Alligator mississippiensis: one gene and its partners. The protein of the gene in region 1 purifies or fractionates together with the protein of each later gene. This does not show direct contact. Links are inferred from orthologs where the notes say so. Each region holds a gene or a part of one and is shown in the gene's direction. Other genes may lie near its edges.

Evidence for each region. Proteins that work in one complex are often made in the same cells at the same time.
Region 2: the proteins of PXN (region 1) and CTNNB1 purify together in Homo sapiens (affinity purification with western blotting; 3 studies listed by BioGRID and IntAct, with this or other methods). This does not show direct contact. The link is inferred for Alligator mississippiensis from reciprocal best matches to the Homo sapiens genes PXN and CTNNB1.
Region 3: the proteins of PXN (region 1) and ITGB1 purify together in Homo sapiens (affinity purification with western blotting; 3 studies listed by BioGRID and IntAct, with this or other methods). This does not show direct contact. The link is inferred for Alligator mississippiensis from reciprocal best matches to the Homo sapiens genes PXN and ITGB1.

What each region holds. Positions count from the first base shown.
Region 1 is NC_081833.1:21,181,974-21,188,867, forward strand, and holds the start of PXN (paxillin), read left to right. Parts: upstream 1-3,874; 5' UTR 3,875-4,015; coding exon 4,016-4,028; intron 4,029-4,039; exon of another isoform or gene 4,040-4,576; intron 4,577-4,669; exon of another isoform or gene 4,670-5,055; intron 5,056-5,389; exon of another isoform or gene 5,390-6,894. UniProt on the Homo sapiens protein: Cytoskeletal protein involved in actin-membrane attachment at sites of cell adhesion to the extracellular matrix (focal adhesion). Recruits other proteins such as TRIM15 to focal adhesion.
Region 2 is NC_081828.1:136,000,826-136,008,331, reverse strand, and holds the start of CTNNB1 (catenin beta-1), read left to right. Parts: upstream 1-4,489; 5' UTR 4,490-4,597; intron 4,598-7,506. UniProt on the Homo sapiens protein: Key downstream component of the canonical Wnt signaling pathway.
Region 3 is NC_081828.1:193,421,637-193,429,115, reverse strand, and holds the start of ITGB1 (integrin beta-1), read left to right. Parts: upstream 1-4,462; 5' UTR 4,463-4,564; coding exon 4,565-4,573; intron 4,574-7,479.

The sequences.
Region 1 (6,894 bases):
ACTGTCCCCAGGCCCCAGCTCCCCAGTGTGTGGGGCAGCAGGGGTGGGGGGGTGGTAAGAAGCCCTTTGTAGGCTGGAAGTCTTACAGCCTGCAAGAGAAAAGCCACAGTTTCCCATGTTTTACTTCTTTAGAGGAGAATCCATTTTTTAAGTTTGTTTCTGACCCTTTTGTATAGTCTTGCAACCCACTTTTGGGTTGTGACCCACAGTTTGAGAAACGCTGCAGCTCACCATGCTGATCCAATGGAGTTTTGCACCGTAACTGGAGAACTGTAGTAACTAGTGCTAAGAGCTACATACAAACAGGACTTATGTGAATTGCAAAGTGATATCTGGCTTAGAAGCAGGGAACAGTTGGATATCAAGATAATCCAACCTGTGGGGCATGGAATCTCCATCCTTAGAGGTTTTTAAGACCTGGGTAGACAAAGCCTAGGCTGGGATGATATAGCTGGGGATGGTCCATCTGCTTTGTGCAGGTAGTTGGACTAGATTAGTATTTTTCAACCTGTGGGTTGTGACCTAAAAGTGGGTTGCAAGAATATATGCAAGGGTTGCAAACAAACTTTAGAAATGGAAAAAGAAACTTAAAAAATGGATTCTCCTTTAAAGGAGAAAAATGTAGGAAACCGTGGCTTTTCCCTTGAAGGCTAGAAGAGTTCCAGCCTGCAAGGGGCTGCTTGGGACCCACACTGCCCCTCCCTGCCCCACACATTCATGCCAGCCCCACACACTGAGGGGCTGGGACCTGGGGATGGGGGGCCAGTGGGTTAGGAGCGAGGGGCACTGGGGTGGGACTGGCCATTGATGTTTATAAAAGGGTCCTGGTACAAAAAAGGCTGAGAACCAATGGACTAGATGACCTCTTGAGGTCCTTTCCAAGCCTAATTTTCTATGGTTCTATTATGACTCTATGTCCATAGGGTGCATCTACACGTGCTGATTTAAGCTGCATTAGCTATTTTTAAGGTGCATTAAGGGCACAGATCTACATGTGTGGGCCCTTACTGTGCCTTAAAAATGGCAATTTTAGGCTATTCATGCCTAAATTTGATTCCTGCAAAAACAGAGATCAAATTTAGGCACAAATAGATAAAGTGCCCTAATGAATATGTAAGCACCCTAAGGTGCATTAATGCAGTATATGTCAATTGACTTGGAACTCACTTTAGTCTCGAGTCAGTCCTCACGCCACGTTAATGTGCCTTAGCACATGCTTGTAGACACACACCTAAATTGCCTTGATGCTCATTAGGCAAATGCATATTCATAGATTCATAGAAGTAGGGTCAAAACGGACCTTGTAGATCATCAAAACTGACCCCCTACCCTGGGCAGGAGAGAAAACTGGGCTCAAATGACCCCAGCCAGGTAGACGTCAAACCTCCTCTTAAAGACCCCCAGGGTAGGAGCCAGCACCACTTCCCTTGGAAGCTGGTTCCAGATCCTAGCTGCCTATTAAGTTTAGGCGTGCATAGAAGCACATGTAGACACGCCCTATGACCTCGGGGGAAGACAAGGGCGGGAGGTTTCAAAAGACTGTGTTCTCCAGAGGTTGCCAGGTAGACTGGAGTAAAATGTGTCAGCAATTTATAACAATGTCCTCCCACACAGTGACCTGCCCCTGTGTCATATCCCTCCCTTTGCCCCTGGACTTCCGGTCATTCTCTCCCTCCTTCCTGTCGTTATTGCTCTGTTCTTGCTTTGCCTCACATAATGTTTCTTCATCTTTCCTCTTGGCATTCTGCCGAGAGTCAAACACAAGGTCAGTGAGTGTACATGTGCCAGGTATTCATGCTTGGGGTGAGCACTGTGTGCAGTACAGTTCCCAGAGCATCTGGAATGGGGGCTGCTGGCAGCATGCATCCTGGGTTCTGCTCATGGGGCTGGTCTGGGTCAGTCGAGACCCAGGGGCAACACCAGGGGCTGAATAACAGGACACTGTGGGCTGTGTGCTTGGTACGGACTGTGGAGATATTTTGCTTTCCTGTGTAGCAGAAAGGTGTGGCCCTCTACCGGGACCTCTTGAGCGAAAAGGGACACTTGGCCCTTGGTTCAAAGACCCCCTGGGAGGCAGAGCAGACAGGGAGAATGAAGAGGACAACGACACAACTGGACCTGGAGACAATGAGGAAGACAGCATCAGAATCATCAGCAGCGGAAGTGACAGTGCCGTCAACAGTGACAAGGACAGGGAATGAACTGAGAATGTAAACTCCAAACCAGCAGATTGGACAAAAGGACTGCAGTTGGGTTAGGGAAGGGCAATGGGTCGGTGTGCGGGGGCGCACGGGAGTGGGTGCATTTATTGTAATGGGTGCACAGCTTCTTAATGTGGTTTAAGGTGTGATGGAAAGTTTTATACTAGATGATGTGTATGTGTGTGTATATATATATATATATATATATATATATATATATAAAAGAAGTCTATTGACAACATTTCACAGAAGCAGGATGCTGGCTGCCGTGGTTCCCCTGCTTTACCTGTAGTTAGCAGGTTAGGGTGTTAGGTCTATGTTGTGTCAGGGTTGAGGGTAGTCTGATGTAGTTTAAATTACGGTTGTATGGGATGGTTTGGACAGGGATGATCCTGCCTCAGGCAGGGGGTTGGACTGGCTGACCTCTGGAGGTCCCTTCTAGCTCTACTTCTCTATGACTAGCTGCACCCAAGTGATGCTCGTCTGTGTCTGTGCTACAGAGTGGTGCCTGACTATCGTGAGGGCCAACCTTTTCAGCAGATGTGACCCAAATTAAGCTCCACACCCTCCCTTAGTGCCATTCTGATCCCCCTCCCCTGCCTGATCTGCTGTTCTGCTTTTTACTCCTGCCCTGTGCTGTACATCTTAATGGATCTCCCCATCTGTGCTGTTGTCCTTACAACACTTCCTGTTATGGGCATACCCTAATTCTCCTTCTTAATAGCACTGTTTGCTACAGGACTGATATATTTGACAGTAAATCTGCCTTCATCTGTTTCAACTGAGTGCTTAAAAATTAGCTTGGCTTAGCCTACCTGGGTGTCCTTGTTGTGGGACACAGGCTTCTTGCTTTACAATGTATTATATTTGGTACTAAACTCTGGACTGCTAAATGTCTCTATGAATTTAAAGATAACAGTTGCAAACTCGGCTTCTCTACAAATGCAACACGGCATCCTTTTTTGTTCCAAGCCTGATGCAGATCAGGGAAGGTGCCTGTTGTTCGCTGGAAGCGATCTGTTGATTCCAGACAGCGGCTGAGGCAGGGCAGGGGAAGAAAACCTCTGCTGGTGAATTTAGACTTTCCTTGCAGCAAAACTCCCCTTCTGTGTTTGGACTTCTCTATTCCAGGGAGCATTTAAGCACGTGACACCAGTGGTAGTCGACTGGCAGAGAGCGGCAAGGGAACAATACCCGCACGTGGCGTTTCCAGTGCGCGCTGTCTCGCTTACTGGGAACTCCCCCCTTAACCAAGTCCATGATGTGCCCAAACCTGTAGCTTGATTGATATTTGCACCAAGCAACATCCATACACACCGCGCTGCCTCGGCTGGATTCAGGGTAAGGCCTGAGCAGCCAGGAGCAGGGCGGGTATTTCCGTGCCCCTCTCGTGCTAGTGCTCGCTCTGCCCTTTCTAGTGTCTCAGACCCTGCTCGCCCCCGCGTCCCCAGGGCCCGATCCCGGCTCCGGGCCGAACCGCCCCCGGCCCCGCCAGCCTCGGGAGACGCGGCCTCGTGCTCCGGACAGCCCGCAGGGCCCGGCCGCCTCCTCCCGCCGCCTGCGGGCGCGGCGCTCGCGTGGGCCGGGCCTGAGGTACGCGGGGCGCCGGGGTGGGCCTCGCGGAGGTGCCTGGGGCCGCCCCGCCGTGAGGGAGGAGCCGGGCGGCCGCCGGCAGGGGGCAGCGCCGGCCCCGCGCAGCAGCCCGCCCGGGAGTCGCCCGGCAGCGGAGCGGAGCGGAGCAGAGCAGAGCAGAGCAGGGGCGGCGGCGGCCGAAGTTGTGCGGCGGGAGCGGAGCGGAGTGGAGCGGCCCTGCCATGGACGATCTGGGTGAGTCCGGCCCGGCCCGGCCCGGCCGCGCCGCAGCCTCCTCCCGCGCGCGGCCCCGGCCCCGGCCCCGGCCGAGCTGCTCCCCGCGGGCCCGGCCCGGATCCGCTCCGGGAGTCTCGCAGCGGCCGGGGCTCGTGGGCGGCCCCCGGGGGCCTGCTCCAGCCCCGGGGCGCGGGGCTCTGCGCGCTTCGGCTTCCCCGCCTGGGGCCCCGGGGGAGGCCGCCCCGTGCTCTGCGCTTTCTTCCCCGGCCCGAGGACGTGGTTCTGCTCCGGCCCGGCCCGGCACTGCCCGGCGGGACTCCCCTGGCGGCTGCTCGCCCGCAGACAGCTCGGGCCGCGCCGGGCCGGGCCGGTGCGGAGCCGGCGATGGCCTCACACCGTGGGAGCTGAGCGGTGCCAGCTGCAATTGTTGCATTCCTCAGATTCACCGAGGCGGCGGCGGCGGGGGGGCTCTGCCAACTGACCTGTGCTTTACTTCAGCAGTTGCTTATTTCCCCCCCTTCATCAGTGGGAGGATTTAAGGTGAACTGCAAAGGTGGTCTGGAAAGGTGGGCTCCTGTCCTCTCTGCACTGCTTTACCATGTGTAGAGAAGCCACCCCTTCCCCCCAAGTTTAGTTTAGTTTTATTATTTGTTTCTTACCTTAGGGGGATGGATGCCTGATGTTTTGAGTTTCTTCTCTGCTTGTTCTGGAAGACTTCTTAGAGGTCTTGAGGCTTTTTCATGCTTTGGTTTAACTAGTCCTTTCTGGTTAGATGTGAAGCATGTAGAGCACAAGCAGCAACAAAGCAGGAGTTTTAAGCAGTTTGAATAAAAATCTCTTCCTATCTGAGCAGCACCGGTTTCACTCTTGTGTTACTGGCAACCAGCTCTCAGTTTGTCCATAGAGTCTTGCAGGAAGAGGCAAGGTCTGAATATTTTATGGAAGGAAAAACAAACAAACAGAAAAGGGAAATACTTCTTTCCTCTTAATAACTTTTCCTGCCTACAGACTGTTTCATCAAGAAACAACCCAGCTCCAAGGCTAGTTGCTTTCTCCTTTGCAGAGCAATGGTAGTGTCAAAGTCTTAGCCTTGGGTCATATACAGGGGAGGGGCAGTGTGTTGAGTGGTGCAAGCCAAATTCAGGCTCCACTGAAGTGAGTGCAGTTACACGCTGGATGAATTTGGCCCTATATCTTTTAAACTTTTTGATCTAATGAAAAAAGAATGACCAGCAAGAGTGCAGCTTTCCTGCTTCTGGGACTGGAGATCTCAAAAGCTGAACACAGCAGGTGAAGGGACTTGATTTGGATTGGTTTTTAGGGACTGGGTAATCTAGAACAGGTAAAGCTTTGCTATTGCTTTTCCTTTTCCTCTCCAGCATCGGAGAAATCTGTTTTGCAGCGTGCAGGAAACGCTGGTGAAGAGTTCTGCAGATGGCACTTGTCCGTCCCAGCAAGTGGGAAGCCTGCGTGTTCTTTGTGTGAGACCGTATTGGGGGAAGGGTGAGGAGTTTGAGCAGTTAGCAGATCTGGACACACATCTCGTCTGGATCTTCCAAGATGGGGACATGCTTGAATGCTGATTAAGAATGACAGTGAACCAGTTTCTTTTAAAAATATTATCCACTAGTGTGTAAACTGCAATTACAGTCTGAAAAGGAGGGAAAGCCCTAATTGCAGGATCACCTCCTCTTCTGCCTCTAGAATACTAGAGAACAATGCAGTGCGATGTACAGCAGGAAAGGATGACATGGGCACTCCCAGCATGAGAACCACCAAATACTCATACTTGTGATTATATTAGATGGCAGACTAAGACACTGAAGAGAGCGCTTGTGGTGCTCTGTTGGGTCCGACCAGGTATCCATATAACCAGCTTACTAGAATCTATCACACTCACAATAAAGAAACCTGACTTATTTCCTAGGTAGTTACAGTATTGGACCTGCCATCTGGGGATAGTCTTACATTTGCAGTTCTTCAGTCAATTGGAGATGTAGCTTGATTAGGTGTCCTTGTCTTTCCTTATAGCGTGGCAGAAGCAAGCTCTGTGTAGGAATTGCTCTTCCTTCTATAATAAAATATAATTTTTACTAGACAGTGAACTTCATTAAAAAAACCAAACAAACTTTGTATGATACTGTTTTAACCTCTCAATTACTTTTTGTTCGGGATGATGTGTGGTGCTTTTCACTTAGTTTGGACCAGGGGTGTGCAACCTTCTGGCCCCGCAGGCTGCCTAGGTGTATGGTAATGGGGCTAGTTTGTGGACTAAATGAATCCCATGGGTGAGATCAGTCCATGGACCTGAGCCAGGGTCAGCAGACAGGGTCATCTGCAGGTGCAGTCTGGCACACCCATCTGGCTCCACGCACTGGATCTGACTGTGTATTGATACCATGCGCTGGCCTGACTCCATGTGCCTGATCTGGTCATGAAGTGGATTTGGCTATGGAGTGACTCTGAATTCAGTGCATGGGACTGTCATCTGGCCCGCAGGGGAGCCACAGCAGTTAATGTTGCCATCTCTCCCCTGCCACCAAATTTCCAAACTCATGGAGAGCCCTGTGGACTGGAGGTTGAGCACCAGTGATTTAGACAAAAAAAGTCTGTTTCACTGAATTCTTTGTCTCTGGTTCTTGTGGACTACACATCATTACAAAATTTGGATTTTCAAGTATTGAGGTAGATGTTAGTACCCATAAACTGTCTTCATTGACAGGATGGAGCTGCAGACTTTGCAAACCTCTACTAGATTTTGTGCTTTTTAATTATTTTAGTAAGTCACATTTGAAAATTGTTTTTTTTTTTTAAGAGCTCTTCTTTAGTGACTTTAAAACTTTCTGGTTCTGTGCTGTTTTTTGGGATTGCAAAATGCAGCCGA
Region 2 (7,506 bases), on another chromosome or scaffold:
CCGTAAATATGTACTTCTAGATTATGGTTCTATCCATGTTTCATGCTACTAAGAAATCAAGAACCAAGATCTAAGATATATGCAGCATTTCCTATATATAATTACAGAATCACCCTAACTACCACCCAAATGCAACTTTTCATAATAATTCTCATTGAATTTGCTCAGTGGATTCTGAGATTACTTGTATAAAAGGAGCCAACTTTCTAGAGGACAAGAGGCATTTACAACTACTTAGCCTTTTCAGCTGGAAAGAAATCAAAAGATTCAACTGAGCTATGAGATGTGTTGCAAATCTGAAGTCCTAGTCCATAAATACCCTATCTGAAAATCCGTTAAATGAAACTTTTATCCTGATGCATAATATTTTCAGATTACATGTTAATTAGAAAAGTCTACATAGTCAGTCTCCATAGGAAAATCTGGCCTTAACATTTAGCATTTTCAGATTACACATTGTTTAAGAGGTCAGTTTGAACAGGAAAATTCGGCCTAATTGCTTTTTTTTTTCCCCTTTTAAAAAAGGACTGAAACTTTATATACCCAATCACATTTTTACTATTTTAATGTTCACTATATAGACCTGATATTTAAGGTTTTTTTATATACTGCTGATATTTTAAAGGGCTTACAAATATGAGAAACCAGTGGTTTCATGTACATGAAGTTGAGCGGGGGAGAGGAAGGTAGGTATCACACCTTTGCTACTGCGATTGTTTTCATTTGTTTCTTCTGCAAGGCTGGCCGAGCATAGCAGTAACATATTGATTTAGCTAGTAAGGCAAGTTACCTAATCAGTAGGAGTCAGATATATTTTTAAAAGAAAACTGAAGCTCTGTGGGATACTAGACACGACAAATTCAAAAGGGGAACAGAGCTGAGGATTTCTTTTGACTTCGTTCATAATTGGCCATTTCTATTTTATAAAATGTAAATCATTGCTGATATTATGCATTTGATTAGCAATCGTTAAAATATATTTATTTGGAAAGTACATAGCTTCATGTTTGCTCATTTTTGCTGTGTCTGCTGCTTAATATACCAGTAATCAGATATTGTGATGAGTAATCCCTCAGCTGCTAGATCAGTTGGACACTTTTTTTCAGTAACTGAAACATACCTTAAATATAAAGTTAAACTGTTGCTGAATTCACACAAATTGTATTCAGGCATGTAACATTGATGCATGTTATAAGAATCTAGAATGAAAAAGTAAAGAGAGAGAATAATCCTTTAATTCCCCCCCCCCCATGAAATAAAATCTATTCATTACTAATGTCTGTTTCTTATACTTAAAATAATACTTAGAGTACTATATGCTTTATATTCTTTCAATCAACTACTGTAGTTTGACTTTCGTGTCAGTTTATAAATAATATTTTAACGTCTGCCTTCATTTTAAGATAGATGATCTCCAGTTAAGGCTCTGTATCATTTTTGTCTCATAATTCTGAGGAAACTCAAACCTGGCCAATAATCACACTTGTCTAATTTATTCATTTTTTTTTCTTTTCTGAAGTGCCTGCACACAGTAGGTATTTTACCAAAGTCAAATCTGACCAGTGCACCCATTTGCCTTATTACAGAAAAGTTTCCCCCTTTTAAAATAAAACAATTCTCAACTAAGCAGCAGGCATTAACTTGATTAGCTATATATCTCAAATCAAGTACTTAAACATTTGCAAGCCTCTACAGTCTTTTTCCTCTGTCTACTATACCAAGGTACAAAATATTTGTTCCTTTATATTACCAAAACTTTAGTCCAGAGAAAGTAGTATTTTTTTTCCTTTTTCTTTTTTGTGAAATGGCCAGCTTGTTTTATTTTGTTGTTGATAAACTGAACATATCACCAGTCATAATTAAAAAAAACAAACAAACAAACAAAACTTGTAATTGATTCTTAAAACTGCTCCTAAAACTCGCATGGTTAGAAGCCATTATGCATATGTTTTTAAGATGCGTCTGGAAAAATCAAAGATTCAGGCCCAACGTCTTAGACATTTCTTTCATTGTTACTTTTTGGGGGGGTATGTATTATAGCCATTGCTAATCTTTCTTTACTGTGTGCCTTAAAAAGACATAGTTATATTCCAATATCCTCAGAGGGAATGGTAGTCAACTAAATTTACCTCTAACCCACTTTTCCCCAGTTTTTTCCTTTCTGTGTTGTAGGGTGTTAATCACTGACCAGGCAAAAGCAACGCTAAGGATGTCTGAGAGGCTAACTAACAAAAAAGATCTGAATCATTATCTTATAAAATTTAACCATGAAGTTCTCCTTTGCATTGAGGATTTCTCACTGCAGTGATACACAATGGTCATGTTAGAAGGCTGTTTGACCTTTTGGGGGAAAAAAAAAAAAAAAAAGTGTCTGCAGCATAGTCGACTAACAAACAATCCCCAAGACAAACCTATTAAAGTATAAATTAGCTCCAAAGAAACTTCTGGAGCTATATGGATAGTGATTGCTTTTCGGGGAAAAATGATTCCTTAGATTGATGGATATAACTTGATTGTTGATGTATTCATTAATTGTAGCTTTACACTGTAATATCCAAAACAAAATCTGTTTTTGTTCCTTTCTACACCATATCACACTGTATTTTATAAACATTTGGAAACATTTATAAACATTTGCAACATAACAGAAGAGTGTTATGTCAAAGTCAATTATAACATTTACATATAGCTATGAAGTAATAATGGCTCTCTCAGACAGCTCCAGAAGAGTGACATTGTACTAAATGGTTAACTAAATATTGCAACGCCAAACCAAAACATTTTTTTTATTTGCATAGTGTCTAAATATGAAAGTATCCTAAGCCCTCTGCAACAACACAAGAACAGATTAAATGCCTAAAAAATATGCAAGATTAAAAGCAACTCTAAAAATCACTATGAAGCTAACATTATGTGCCAAAGGCCTTTTGAAATTTAAAAAAGGAGGGTTTTTCAACCTGTTTTAAAAGGGGCTAAATCCAGTAGTCCTCTCCAGGTCAAAAAGAAAAGCATTCCATAGTTCAGGGGCCTGAGGCAAGGACACAGACTGTACCCCTTCTGCTCCTGCAATCCAGGCTCCACCAGCCCCATCCTCCCGGACCTCAGGGGGTGGGATGGCACACAAAGAGGCTCTTAAAGGTATCTGGGACCATGCGATGCATCAAGAGTGTTTGACTGATTCTCCTGTTGTTATCAAATACCTAATGGAAGCGCTTATCATAAATTTGGCAATAACACCCTACAGCAGCCACACTTTGAACTTGGATCGCATCTTTGATCCCGGGGGGTGAAAAGTGGGTCAGTCAGCAGCATTATCCCCATTTCACAGAGTGAAACCGAGGCACCCGGGATGGCCCCCAAGCAGGAAGGGGGAAAAGAGCTGGACAAAGAACCAAGCTCTTGTCTCAGCCAAAACACTCGATCTTACACCTCCAGCTCTCCTGTGAAATGCGAGTTCTCATCTTCACTTAAAAGAAATTTTACAATCTTTGCACTCTCCTATGCCTGAGGAAGGGCAAGTGTGCCCAAAAGCTTGCAAATCTTTTGTTTTTTGCAAATATCTAGTAGGTCTAATGAAAGATATCATCTCTGCCACCAGCTCTGAGTCCTAAGCAACTGGACACTTAAAGCAGGGGAAAATCCTGGTGCCTACTGTGCCAGGAGCTTGCAGCACGGGCTGCATTTCAGAAGGGCTTGCAGGTCCAGAAGGGAGCGTGGCTTTGCCCCCTGCAGCTGCCTGGGCTGGGGCGGGTCAGCAGCCAGGGCAGAGGGCGAAACCCCCAGCCCTGACCTGCCCCTCGCCGGGCCCAGGCGCTTGCGGGGCTGCAAGGACACGGGCCCAAGCCCCGGGAGAGGGGGAGAAGGACGAGAGGCTCAGCCGCCAAGGAGGCGCCTCCGTCGTTGCCCCCTGTCCCGCGCCCGGCCCCTCGGCCCTGCCAGCCTACGTGACCTCCGCTACCCAGGAGCCCCGCCGGGCCGGGCCTGTGCGCCAGAGGGAGCTGTCCGGACCGGAGCTCCGCCTCGCACGGCGGGGCCGTGTCCGCGGGAGGAAGCGGGCCGCGGGCCGCGTGCCGGCCGCTGGTGTGAGGGTGAAGCCGCGCAGCCGAAAAGGGCTGGGGGTGCTTCCCAGGACGGGTCCCGCACCTCAGGGCGTGTCCCTACGGCTCCTCCACCCCGCGACGGGCTCTGTCAGAGTCGGCCCGGCTCCTTTAAGAGAGGCCGCCTCTAACCGGCTGAGCCCCCGGCCCGGCCCGGAGGTATCACTCCGCCCCTCGGGGCTGGATCCCTGCCCCGCCTCCACCCCACGCTTGCCACCGCCCTCCGCAGCTACCGCCCCCCCTCCACGGCCCACGCGAGGCGCCGCCGTGTCCCTCCGCGTCAAGAGCCGGGCACTACTTCCTGGCGCCCCGCCCAGGCTGTAGAGCGCTGCGCGCGGCGGATGGATACATCCGCGCACTATAAGAGCCGCCTTGTGCGCGGCGCCATTTTAAGCTTCTCGCTCAGGTCGGTGGCGGCGGCGGCGGAGGAGGGAGCAGAGGAGCCGGGATCGCCCGAGCGGCGGCGGCAGCCGGAGGCCGAGGAACCCCACGCTTGCAGCGTTAGTGCCGCGCTCCCGAGCGGGATTGGGGGGCTGCGTCTGTGGCGAGGCGGACCGGGGCGGCGGAGCCCGCGGGGGACAGCAGCTCCGTCCCGGCCGTTTTGGGGCCCGCGGGCCCGGGTGGACGCCGCCCCTCGGTACAAAGGGCCGGTGCGGTCCCGGGCGGGCGCGGGAAGGGGCCGGGTCGGGGCCTCCCTCGCCCTTTGTTCTGCGCTGACCCCGCTGTAACCCGAGCCGGGCTCCCGGCAGGGCTGCGGCCGGCGGGCAGGGCAGGGCGCTGGGGAAAGCGGGTTTGTTTTGAGAAAGTACTCCTCAGTCAGGGGAGGGGCTGGGGCCGGGCTGCAGCGCCCGGAATGGGCCGCCTGGATCCCAAGCCGTGGCCCCCGGGGCGAGGGGGCGGGAAGGAGAGGGAGAGAGGAAGCAGTGCCGGGAGCCCGCTCCGCTTTGCAGCCAACTTGGGGCTCCCCGGACTTTTGTGTGGTGGAGAAGCCGAGTGGGGCGGTCTGTTCTCCGCTTCGGCAACAAACCCTGCAGACAGTGTGTGGAGCTGGACGGGAGGCTGCAGGGGACCGGCGGCGCGTCTGTAACTGAAGTTGTTGTGCGTTTGGAAGCAGTTCACAATAGTTCGGGTTGGGAACAGCAGGACGGTGGTGACAGCACAGGCGGCCACAACAAAACTTTTTTGTTAGAAACATCATTAAACTGCCTGTTGTGAACAGCACATGAAGAATATGACCTCACTCCTCATTATTTTAAGCTTCCTCTGCCCTTGAGCAGGTTTTTTGCTTGATCAAGGTTCTGTAAAACAAACTTTGGTAAGAGAAACCAGACTTAATTGGCTCCCTGATGGTCTAGTTGGGAGGGGGGGAAATGGTGTGTGTATTGGCATGTGACTAGAAAAATCTGTATGGCAGTTGAGCTGCAGTGAAGTAGGTTCAAAACCAGGCTGCATTGAACTGTGCTGCAGACTTGTACAAACCCACTAGTTCAGGGAAGCGTGTGTTTCTACTGAGCAAAATTATTGTAGTAGTAAAGGATGGTGAGGTGTGGGCTCAATGTGTCTGAAACTTAGTCTGTCTAATTACAGTGCCTTAAAACACCCCCCCCCCCTTTGCTATGCCTCTAAATTGCTTGGATTTTGTTGCTGCTTTGACATTGAAAGGTCTTCAGTAATGTAGCTTGCAACCTAAGATGCCTTCTCCCCCCCCCCATGTTCTCAGACTTGTATTTAAAACAACAAAGTTAATTCTCTATCAGCGAGCTGTTAAATATAGGGAGTTACTAGTTATGATTGATATAGTGAGGTTTTTCGCCCTGCTCTTTGTTTCTGGGGGTATGTTGGCTAGACTGTCACTCTCTGAACCCTTTAAAAATGTAATCTTTTGGGCACAAACACCCTTCTTCAGGCATAGGGGGAGACTCCCCCTATGCCTGAAAAAGGGTGCTTATGTCTGAAAACTTGCAAAGAACAATTTTTTTTCAACTATTCAGTTGGTCTAATAAAAGATCTCGCATCTACTTGAAGAACCTTGTCTGCAGATGTCCTGAGACCAACAAGGTGACAACCCTTAAAAATTAACTTAATTTATAGCATTAATATAGTCTGGCTTTCATAGCTGATGGAAATAATTACTTGGATAACTGTCAGCATAATATACCAAACTTGCTTAATATAGTATAGTGTGAGCAGATGTTAAGTTCATTATCATTTTGATGAATGCAGGCTCCATGATGAGATGCTCTTTTCTCCAGTTCTTTTTATGTTAAGTTTTTTTTTTTTTAAAGTAAACACAAAAAAAACCCCAACACCCCCCTTCCCCCCCCCCCCCCACCTCAGTACCGTAGGTTGTATGCCACAGAGGCTCAGAGCTAAAACCCTAATGTTTGGGGCTGCTATGAATAAGATGGGGCTAATGACATCAACTAGATGGAGCATTATTGCAGCAGTGTGGGCTGTAGTACAAAACCAAATCACCATGATTTGTAGTACAGTACAGTAGTCTGTTGTTCGTTCTGTAGCACTGAATCAAATCCTTAAGCAGTTCCCTGATAAAGCTAATGTTGGAGCAGGTTGGTGTAGACTTTAATTGGCATCGCAGAATTCTCAAACCTGCTTCTGCTGAACGAGGATTACTTTTTTATTAAATGAAAAGTGGCACTTAAATTTACTCAATCTTGCTTGAATTGTTTAATACAAAATGCATTTGTTCTAGGCATGTGGTACACCCTGACAGAATCAAAATTGAGCTAGGTATATCCAGGCTGGAACTGGGGGGATTATAAAGCTCCATGTTATAGGGCATGTATGACCTAGTTAGAAATATTCCAAGCCATGTGTAGTCCTTACAGTATAGAGCTCTGTAGGGTAATGCCAGCTCTGTTCTGGCAACAATATAGGTGCCCCCCAGTGGTCAAGAATCTCAACATCCAGCAGCTATTGAGGAAGTACTGTAGCTTAGTCAGTCTTTTTGCTTTAATCCAGGGAGTGCTAGTAAAATAAGCTTGGTCTTGGTGTCAAGCCTCACTCTGTTAGTTCTGTTTAATAAGCATCTAACTCATGTAGATAACTCTTCATTGTAGATTTTACAGTGATAGAATGGAATTGCAGGCTGGTTACTGCCTTAACTTCACAGTTTCTCAGAATTCCTATGGGCATTTTCCTTGTAATAACATTGATTCTAATAGCTATCCAGTTGTTAAGCCACAAAGACTAATGGTTAACAGCTATGTGGAAGGCTGACTAAAATAGTCCATTTTTGTGTCCAGCTCTAACTTTATTTTTTCCATTCCTCCCCCCCCCCATTTCTGTGGCAGTTTATAGGGGTTTGAGGGTGATTTGTGAAGTACCACAGCACAGTGAATCCGTTTGCAGGTTGGGATGTGAGGACAGACTCCACAGCTTCCTAACC
Region 3 (7,479 bases), on another chromosome or scaffold:
GAAAGTCAAACTTATTCATGGTATGGAAAAAATCAAGGTTATAAAGTGCAAGATCCTAATTTCCCGGTACTTTATACATCTTTCGAAGCTCTTGTGCAAGTGTGTGGGCTTAACAGAGTTGCAATTTCCAGGCTAAATCCTGATTTAACATGCTATATGCTGAATGCCACAGCTGTAAACATAAAGCCAATGGGAGCTGAAAATACCTAGCACATTAAAAGGAATTTGCTTTGCACCTTGCAAGATGAGAATTCTAGCAAGTAAAGCACAGTAAACAGATTGTCAACTCCAGTTCTCCTACTAGGCAGCAAGTACATGATGACTCAGTCCATGCAGTCTCTTCTCTGTGGTTACATACCCTAATTCCGATGTAAATGTGGGACTCTATAATGGCCGCATTGTGTGCTGCTGACAAGCTGCCAGTTGAAATCCACTTACTACTCCTAGAGAAGTGCTACTTATCATTAGTGAAAAGACGGACAAATAACGGCTGTTGTTATCAAAAGTAATGACCACCACCTTTCAGCACCATCAGCTCTTGTATTAAGTGACCCTATTTTCTAATAATAAATTCAGTGTTAAGCTAGTCTTTACGTTTAGCAACTTCTTCATTCTTGTACCATTGCAGGCACATACCCATATTCTGAAAAACTATCAGCAAGGCCGTCTAAAGATTCTCAATGTATTCCTTCCAAAAGCATATAGAACATGTAGGCAGGCATACATTAACTGGGGCAAACACAGGAGGACTGTACAGACCTGTTTTCAGGGACGGAACTGGAAAAAAAAACTAGTATAAAAGTGCTAATGTGCTTCAGTGGACAGAGCGCTGGACTTGGTTTCAAGGGACTTGGGTTCTATTTCTGACACTGACCTGTTCTTCCCTTTCTCTGTCTTGCTTATATGAACTGCAGTTTCTCTAGGGAAGGAGCCATCACCTGCCACACGCAGTACCCAACATGCGGTGTTTAGATTTCAGCTGGAACCTCTAGGCACTTCTGTAAAACTAAGTATTCTTTTATAGCACTCTATCTTTGAAAAAGTTTGCAAATACTGGCTAGTTATTACTCATATTTGTCTGCCTCAGATTATATTAATTATCCCATTTTACAGATAAGGAAAATGAGACAACAACGCTTAGGGAAGAGGTTCTCAGACTGTGGTTCATGGACCATCGGTGCTTTGGAGAGTATTTATTACTGGTGAGCTTATCAAGTTTATTGCCTGATATCAAATACATTAGAAAAATGAAAAAAAAAAAAAATTAGACATTTTTCTAAAATGACTCCTACATGCAGTCAATTACTGTACTTACCACAGAGCTATTACAGTCACACATGGGAGAGTCATGTGTGCACACTGGTGGTCCATGAAACAGTCCCTGTAGTAAAATACAGTCCACACATGAAAGTCATTGAGAACCCCCAAGTTGGGTCAGAATCAGTGGCAGGGTAATCATGAATATTGGAGCAAGATGACACCACCTAACTAAACCAGATGTGCCCACTAAGCAACTCTATACACAAAACATACTGTAAATATTTGGAAAACTGTATCTAAGATACTAGAATTCATAAAGCTGTTCCTGCCAACTTCATCATCTATGCACAGGAATTCTAAATTTTTACACAAATACAGTTACTTTTTCATTTTTATGCATGTTCTTATCCAGTATCTAACGGATGCATTTCTATTGCATCCTAGAAAATGTACCACTTTGCTGGTATTGCTAGTAGGAATGTACATTTTACAGCATGAGCATGTATTCCTTACAATATTCACAGCAAAAGAATATACACAATGCCTTTTACTTTGAGCACAAATTACTAATTATATGTCTTTGCTGCTGTGCAAGAGTAATCCAAGTAAATGTGTGAAATAGCATAGAACTATATTATTAATTTAATTCAATAATTTAAATCCACCCATTAACATTCAAATTTAGCATATATCACCTTGTAAGCAAACTCTGATCAGATTACTACCTTTATAACTGAATACAGATTTATTGTAAAAAATAATAATTTCCAACAATACTACAAAATTCTTACAAACACATTTAATTTAAAATTTAGTAACCCAGTGAAATCAGTCCTGACTTTACACAGTGGTTTTTCTCTTTGTTTACTGTGTTTAGTTGGCACACTGTTGAGCAGCACAGTCATGACTTATCTCCATGCCACAGTATACTACAACCAACGGTAGACTTTGGGGTTGCATGGGCTATGAACAATGCCAGGAAATGGAATGAGCAGATTATGTGCTGTAGTCATCCCGCCCACATGCAACCAAGAAAAGAGACCTAAATCTGATTACCTGCTCAATGTAGGTAGTGCATCTTTCCTCATCCAATTCTACCAGCAGTGAGAGATTGCACTTCAGTTAATTCACTGTTTTTCCCTATGCCAATTTGTTTGTACAGTGAATTAGTATCAGAGTGCTTAGTGAAAGACAAAGAATCAGTAAGTTGTGTCCAAAGCTCTTATCAGTGTCAACTATAGCTGATAATAGTGAGTGGCCATGAACAGGCATTCACTTCTGCTTCTACCAGTGGAAGTTTCTGAGTGATCATACAGGCACTCAGCCTGCCACCACCCTCTCCCCTTCTCAAGATTAGGGTGATCCTGGCCTAGGGTGCGGTGACTGCTCCACTTCTCCCATCCCATTCGGGGGGGGAGGGGGTGGAGCAGTGCAGAAAGGCTCCTTTACTTCCACAGACCAGACACGCAGGTCTGGGGAACAGGTGGAGTCCTTCCCTACTGTTCCACTTCCCTCCTGTAGACTGGTCAGGCAGCCAGGAAGTCACTGGCCTGGCGAAGCACAAGGAGCATTGCCCACTACCCCAGGGAGACCTTTCCCAGCCCCCACTGGGTAGCGCAGGCAGCAAGGGTAACCCAGCAGGGGCAGAAAAAGAGCTAGGAAGAGGTTCCTAAGCCCTGTTTCCGGCCCCAACATCACTACCCTGCTGGTAGTCCCTAGTTTGGGGACGAAGTAGGGGGCAGAAGTACATCACACTGCTAGTAGCTCTAATGCTGCCCTGGTAAAAAAGTGCCAAGGGCAGGGGAGTCACAGTAATTTGTATCTGCCAAGCAGAATACAGAAAGCAGACAAGTTAGTACTTTATTCCTCAAGTTTTAACCACTAGAAACCAACAGTAGCATCTACCAGAAAAGGCCTTTATTGTGTATGTCACGGTAAGATCAGTTCAGATTTCAGTGCAAGATAACTAGCATGTAGAAGAGGGATGTCAAAGATACTGCCCATGGAGCCCTATCATTCAGCCTGAGGTGCTGCCCGTGGTTCTCTGACTGGACCTAAGCACTGCATGTAGCATATGCTCCAGACCACCCAGAGGAGCTGGGTGCAGGGACAAGCAGGGCAAGACCACCCTTCTTTCTCCCTGCTCCACCCCCTGCCCCAGAGGCACAGGGGAGTTTTGTCCAGGGTGCAAAAAACTCATTAGTTAATGCCTCTACTCCTGCTTGTTTTAGGTTTATCAGAAAACCCCAACACAGACTGGAGCACGTGGCGACACACTGGTGGCAAACGAGAATAAGGAGAGGCAGCAAACAGTGGCTCTGAACCAGGGATGCCGGCAAGCTGCAGGGGGCTGCCCTGACTTGGATACGACCCAGAACCACTGCACTATGAGACTTCTCTCAGCACCAGCGCTAGTCAGGGATACAAGCAGAAATCAGTAGTGTAGACATAGTTATACCAGGAAAAAACCCAACTTTTCTTGGTACAGCTCATCTCCCTCATGGGAAGCAGCTCTAAACTTTGTCTCCAACCCACAGCTGTGCTGAGGAAGGAGCAGGCACACCAGGATGGGGTTTACTGCAGGGATACAGGCAGGGGCAGAGGGGTGCACTTGCACTCCCCCCCAAAGGTTACAACCAGCCGCCTGGCAGCGACAGCAGCCTTTCTAACCAGGCAGGGCGGAGGAGGCCGTTTGACTTCATGGCTCATTACAATCTACTGGATCCCTTCTCAACTCTTCCTTCTCTTCTTTTTACGCAGTCCCTGAAGCTGGCCTCTGCTCTGCCACACTGCTGCTCCTGGGAACAAGTGCCCATTTCTCCACCCGGCGGGTGGTTTTCCCCTCCTTGCCAGAAGCTGGATTTGGTTTTGCTGCCGTCTTCAAGGGAACAGTCCAGCCCTAGGCCCGGGCCTCTTCCCCCGCATCTCCTTCCCGTATCACCGAGGGGAAACGCGGTCCGTGCTGTTCTCAGCCTCCGCGCCCCGACCCCAGCTCCTCCACCCGCCCCCGGCCCCGGCCCCGGCCCCGGCCCGGGCCCGCCGCCTCAGGCGCTGCCCCGGCCCCAGCGCCCCCCACAGCCCGAGCCCGAGGCCGGAGAAGCGGCTCCGCCTGACGCCAGCGGGCAGGAATGCGCCCGCGCCCGCCCCCGCCCCGGAAACAGCGCGCGGGGCGCCCGGCCCGGCCCGTCCCCGGCCCCAGCCCCGTCCCGGCCCGGCCCTCCCCCGGCGCGGCGCGGCAGCACCGGCACGAGGCGGCGGGACAGCGCCACGACACGAGCCTGCGCCGCGAGGGGCCGCCACGGCCATGGCCAAGGTAGGGGCTGGGCCGGGCTGGGCTGGGCTGGGCCGGGCCGGGCCTCTGCGGCGGCGGCCCCGGGCACTTGCGGAAAGGGCCGGGGCCGCTTGTTGCGGTGTCCGGGGCAGGCGGCCCCTTGTGCGGGGAGGCCCCGGGCGGGGACAGCGCGGCCTCCGCGGCGCCGTCATGGCCGGGACAGCGGGGAAAGGAGCGCGAGCGGGCGCTCCCCGGCCCGGCCCGGCCCTTTGTGTGGGCTGGGAAGAGGTTGCCTCGGGCCCGCTCCCCCTGCTGCCGAGCGGGTAAGGGGGGCTCTTCCCCGCTCTCCGCGCCCACTGAGGGGGGGGGGGTGCGCGACTCCCGCCTGCTTCGGCGCAGGGCGGCCGGGGAGGATCCCTGGGCCCCCCGCAGGGAGCTGGGTGCCAGACCAAGGTGTGGGCCCAGTCAGGCTGGATCCTGAGCAGGCTGCCCCGGTTCTGGTTTGGTGGGGCACGTCTGGCTGCCGACTCAAGCCGTCCAGCAGGGCTTGTTTGCACTTTTGCTGGGCCTGCCTTCAGCGTGTCAAAGCAGACACAGCCGACCCGTTTAGTTGCTGGCCTGTGTCCTGGGCTATATCTGTTTTGTTACCCCAGCAAGATCTAATTCAGACTATCCCTGTTTCTGGGAAAGTAGAAGTCCCAGAGAAGGAGGCTATCACACAGCATGCGCACAGACACCACAGTTATTTCTTTATGCAGAGAGGAGATACTCAATTAGAGGTAGGATTTTTTAATATTCTGACTAAATACCACTAGTAAGTAAGTTAGGAAATATCCCCTGCAGTAGGACTTTAGCAGTCATAATAGCAATCAGCAGAGGCACAGTCTAAACTTCTACACTCATGATGATGAAACCAATGATTCATTTTCTGGTCACAAAAATATTACTTACCCCAGGGCAAATGGGTAATTGGCATTTTGCAAGACTGCCTGAAGCTAACTTGTAAGGCTTGTTGAAGCAGTGAGCAATAAGCAACACGCAGTCAAGACATGGCAAGTTTAAAGGGCGTTTTAGTCTTAGTTTCTGTCTTTTTTGAAGTATTTAAACAGTGACAGGGTTCTAGCCTGCAGGGCTGTCAAGCAGGAACCCATCTTCACAGGGAAAGAAATTACTGCTAGAAAATACTTCAGTACACTGTCTGTGGCTTAGTGGTTTGATCATGGGGTTAATACGTGTGAGAGCTGAAGTCATTTGCCTGCCTGCCCGCCCAATTTACTATGTGACCCTGACCAAAGTCACTCTCTCTCTCCACATGAGCATTAAACTAACATGAAGAAAAAGAAATGTCAATTGGATCCATCATTGATAAGCACTTTGTAATCCAATTAGAAAAATTCAGACAATAGCTTGAAGTATTCATGCTTTTTCATGATTGTTAATCTTTTATCCAATCCAGTTTGAAGTATCCCAAGTGATTGGTCATCTGATATTTCCCTTGTATATGTAGTCAGCTGGAGGACTGAGTACCATCCCCCACCCAGAGCTTTCCTGGATGTTTAGTACAAGTTTCTTTGTTCATGATTTCATCCCATAATGCCTCAGAATTCTCCTCTGTAGTCCTAGGATAGGTCTGCTACACTATACTGAAGTGTAGATGACTATGCTTCTCTGCACCACACTAAATGCCTTTGTTACTTTTGGTATGAATAACCTGTTATTTGTAAAATAGGCATCACCTTTCCCTTCACTCCCTGTCATGGTTTAGTAGAGTTGTGGTACTTATTTAGCTTTAACATCTTCATGAGAAGTTGGTCTTGTTACTATTTTCTGAAGTCTCTAGTTGTCAATTTTATTTAATTTTTAAGATGCCAGGTTACTATAAATAAGTGAGGGAAGTGCCAGGTGTAGTTGTACCAGGAACTTTAGCAGGCAGGACTGAGGTCCACTCAGAGGAGAAGTTCCTTTGAATGATAAATTCAGAATTTGCAACAAAAAGAAGAATCAGTACAAGGAGGCAGTCTCGCCCATTAGACTGTTGGCGCGGGGGGGGGGGGGGGGGGGAAGAAGAGAAAAAAACCCCAAAACAAACCACACTAGTCATCAAGCTATCATTATTTAATATTAGTCATCAAGTCGATTAACTCATATGCAGTTCCAGGCACATGGTACCAGAAGGGACAATAGGTTCAGTAAATTAAGTTTGGAACAGTCCAGCAGAGCCATAGAGCCTGGGCTTGACACAGATGGTTTCAATTTCTCTCATTCCCTGGATTGAATGAAGTTATATGGACTCCTTATGCTTTGGAGCAAATAAGGCAATAGCCAACACAGTCTAGCTGACCAACCCAACAGGCCTAGACTGAAGAAGCCCTGTCATTTTTAGCACCCCCAAGATCCAGGTAGCAGACTGCACTGTGGTTTGGCTGGATCTGGTGATGGAGCTCAGGTGGAGAATTTTTCAATCAAATACACCCAGTTTCTAGGAACATTACTACTTTAGGATGTGCTTTCACAGACTTTGTTTTAAGCATTAGTCAGAGTTTAATTTCAGCTTTTCCTTAGGAGACAGCATCAGAAGACTCCATTTGGTTCGAGACAGAAGTTCGATAAACTATTTTGACTCAAGTCTGATAGTACATTTCATAGATTTCATAGACATTACGGCTGGAAGGGACCTCGGAAGATCATCGAGTCCAGCCCCCCGCCCAAAGGGCAGGACGTCAGCTGGGGTCATAGGATCCCAGCAAGATAAGCATCCAGTTTCATCTTGAAGGTGTTCAATGAAGGCGCTTGAACAACCTCCGGCGGCAGGCTGTTCCAGACCTTGGGGGCTCGGACAGTAAAGAAATTCTTCCTTATGTCCAGCCTGAAACGATCTTGTAGTAGTTTGTGACCATTCGACCTTGTCATCCCTTGGGGCGCTCTGGTGAACACACGTTCCCCCAGAT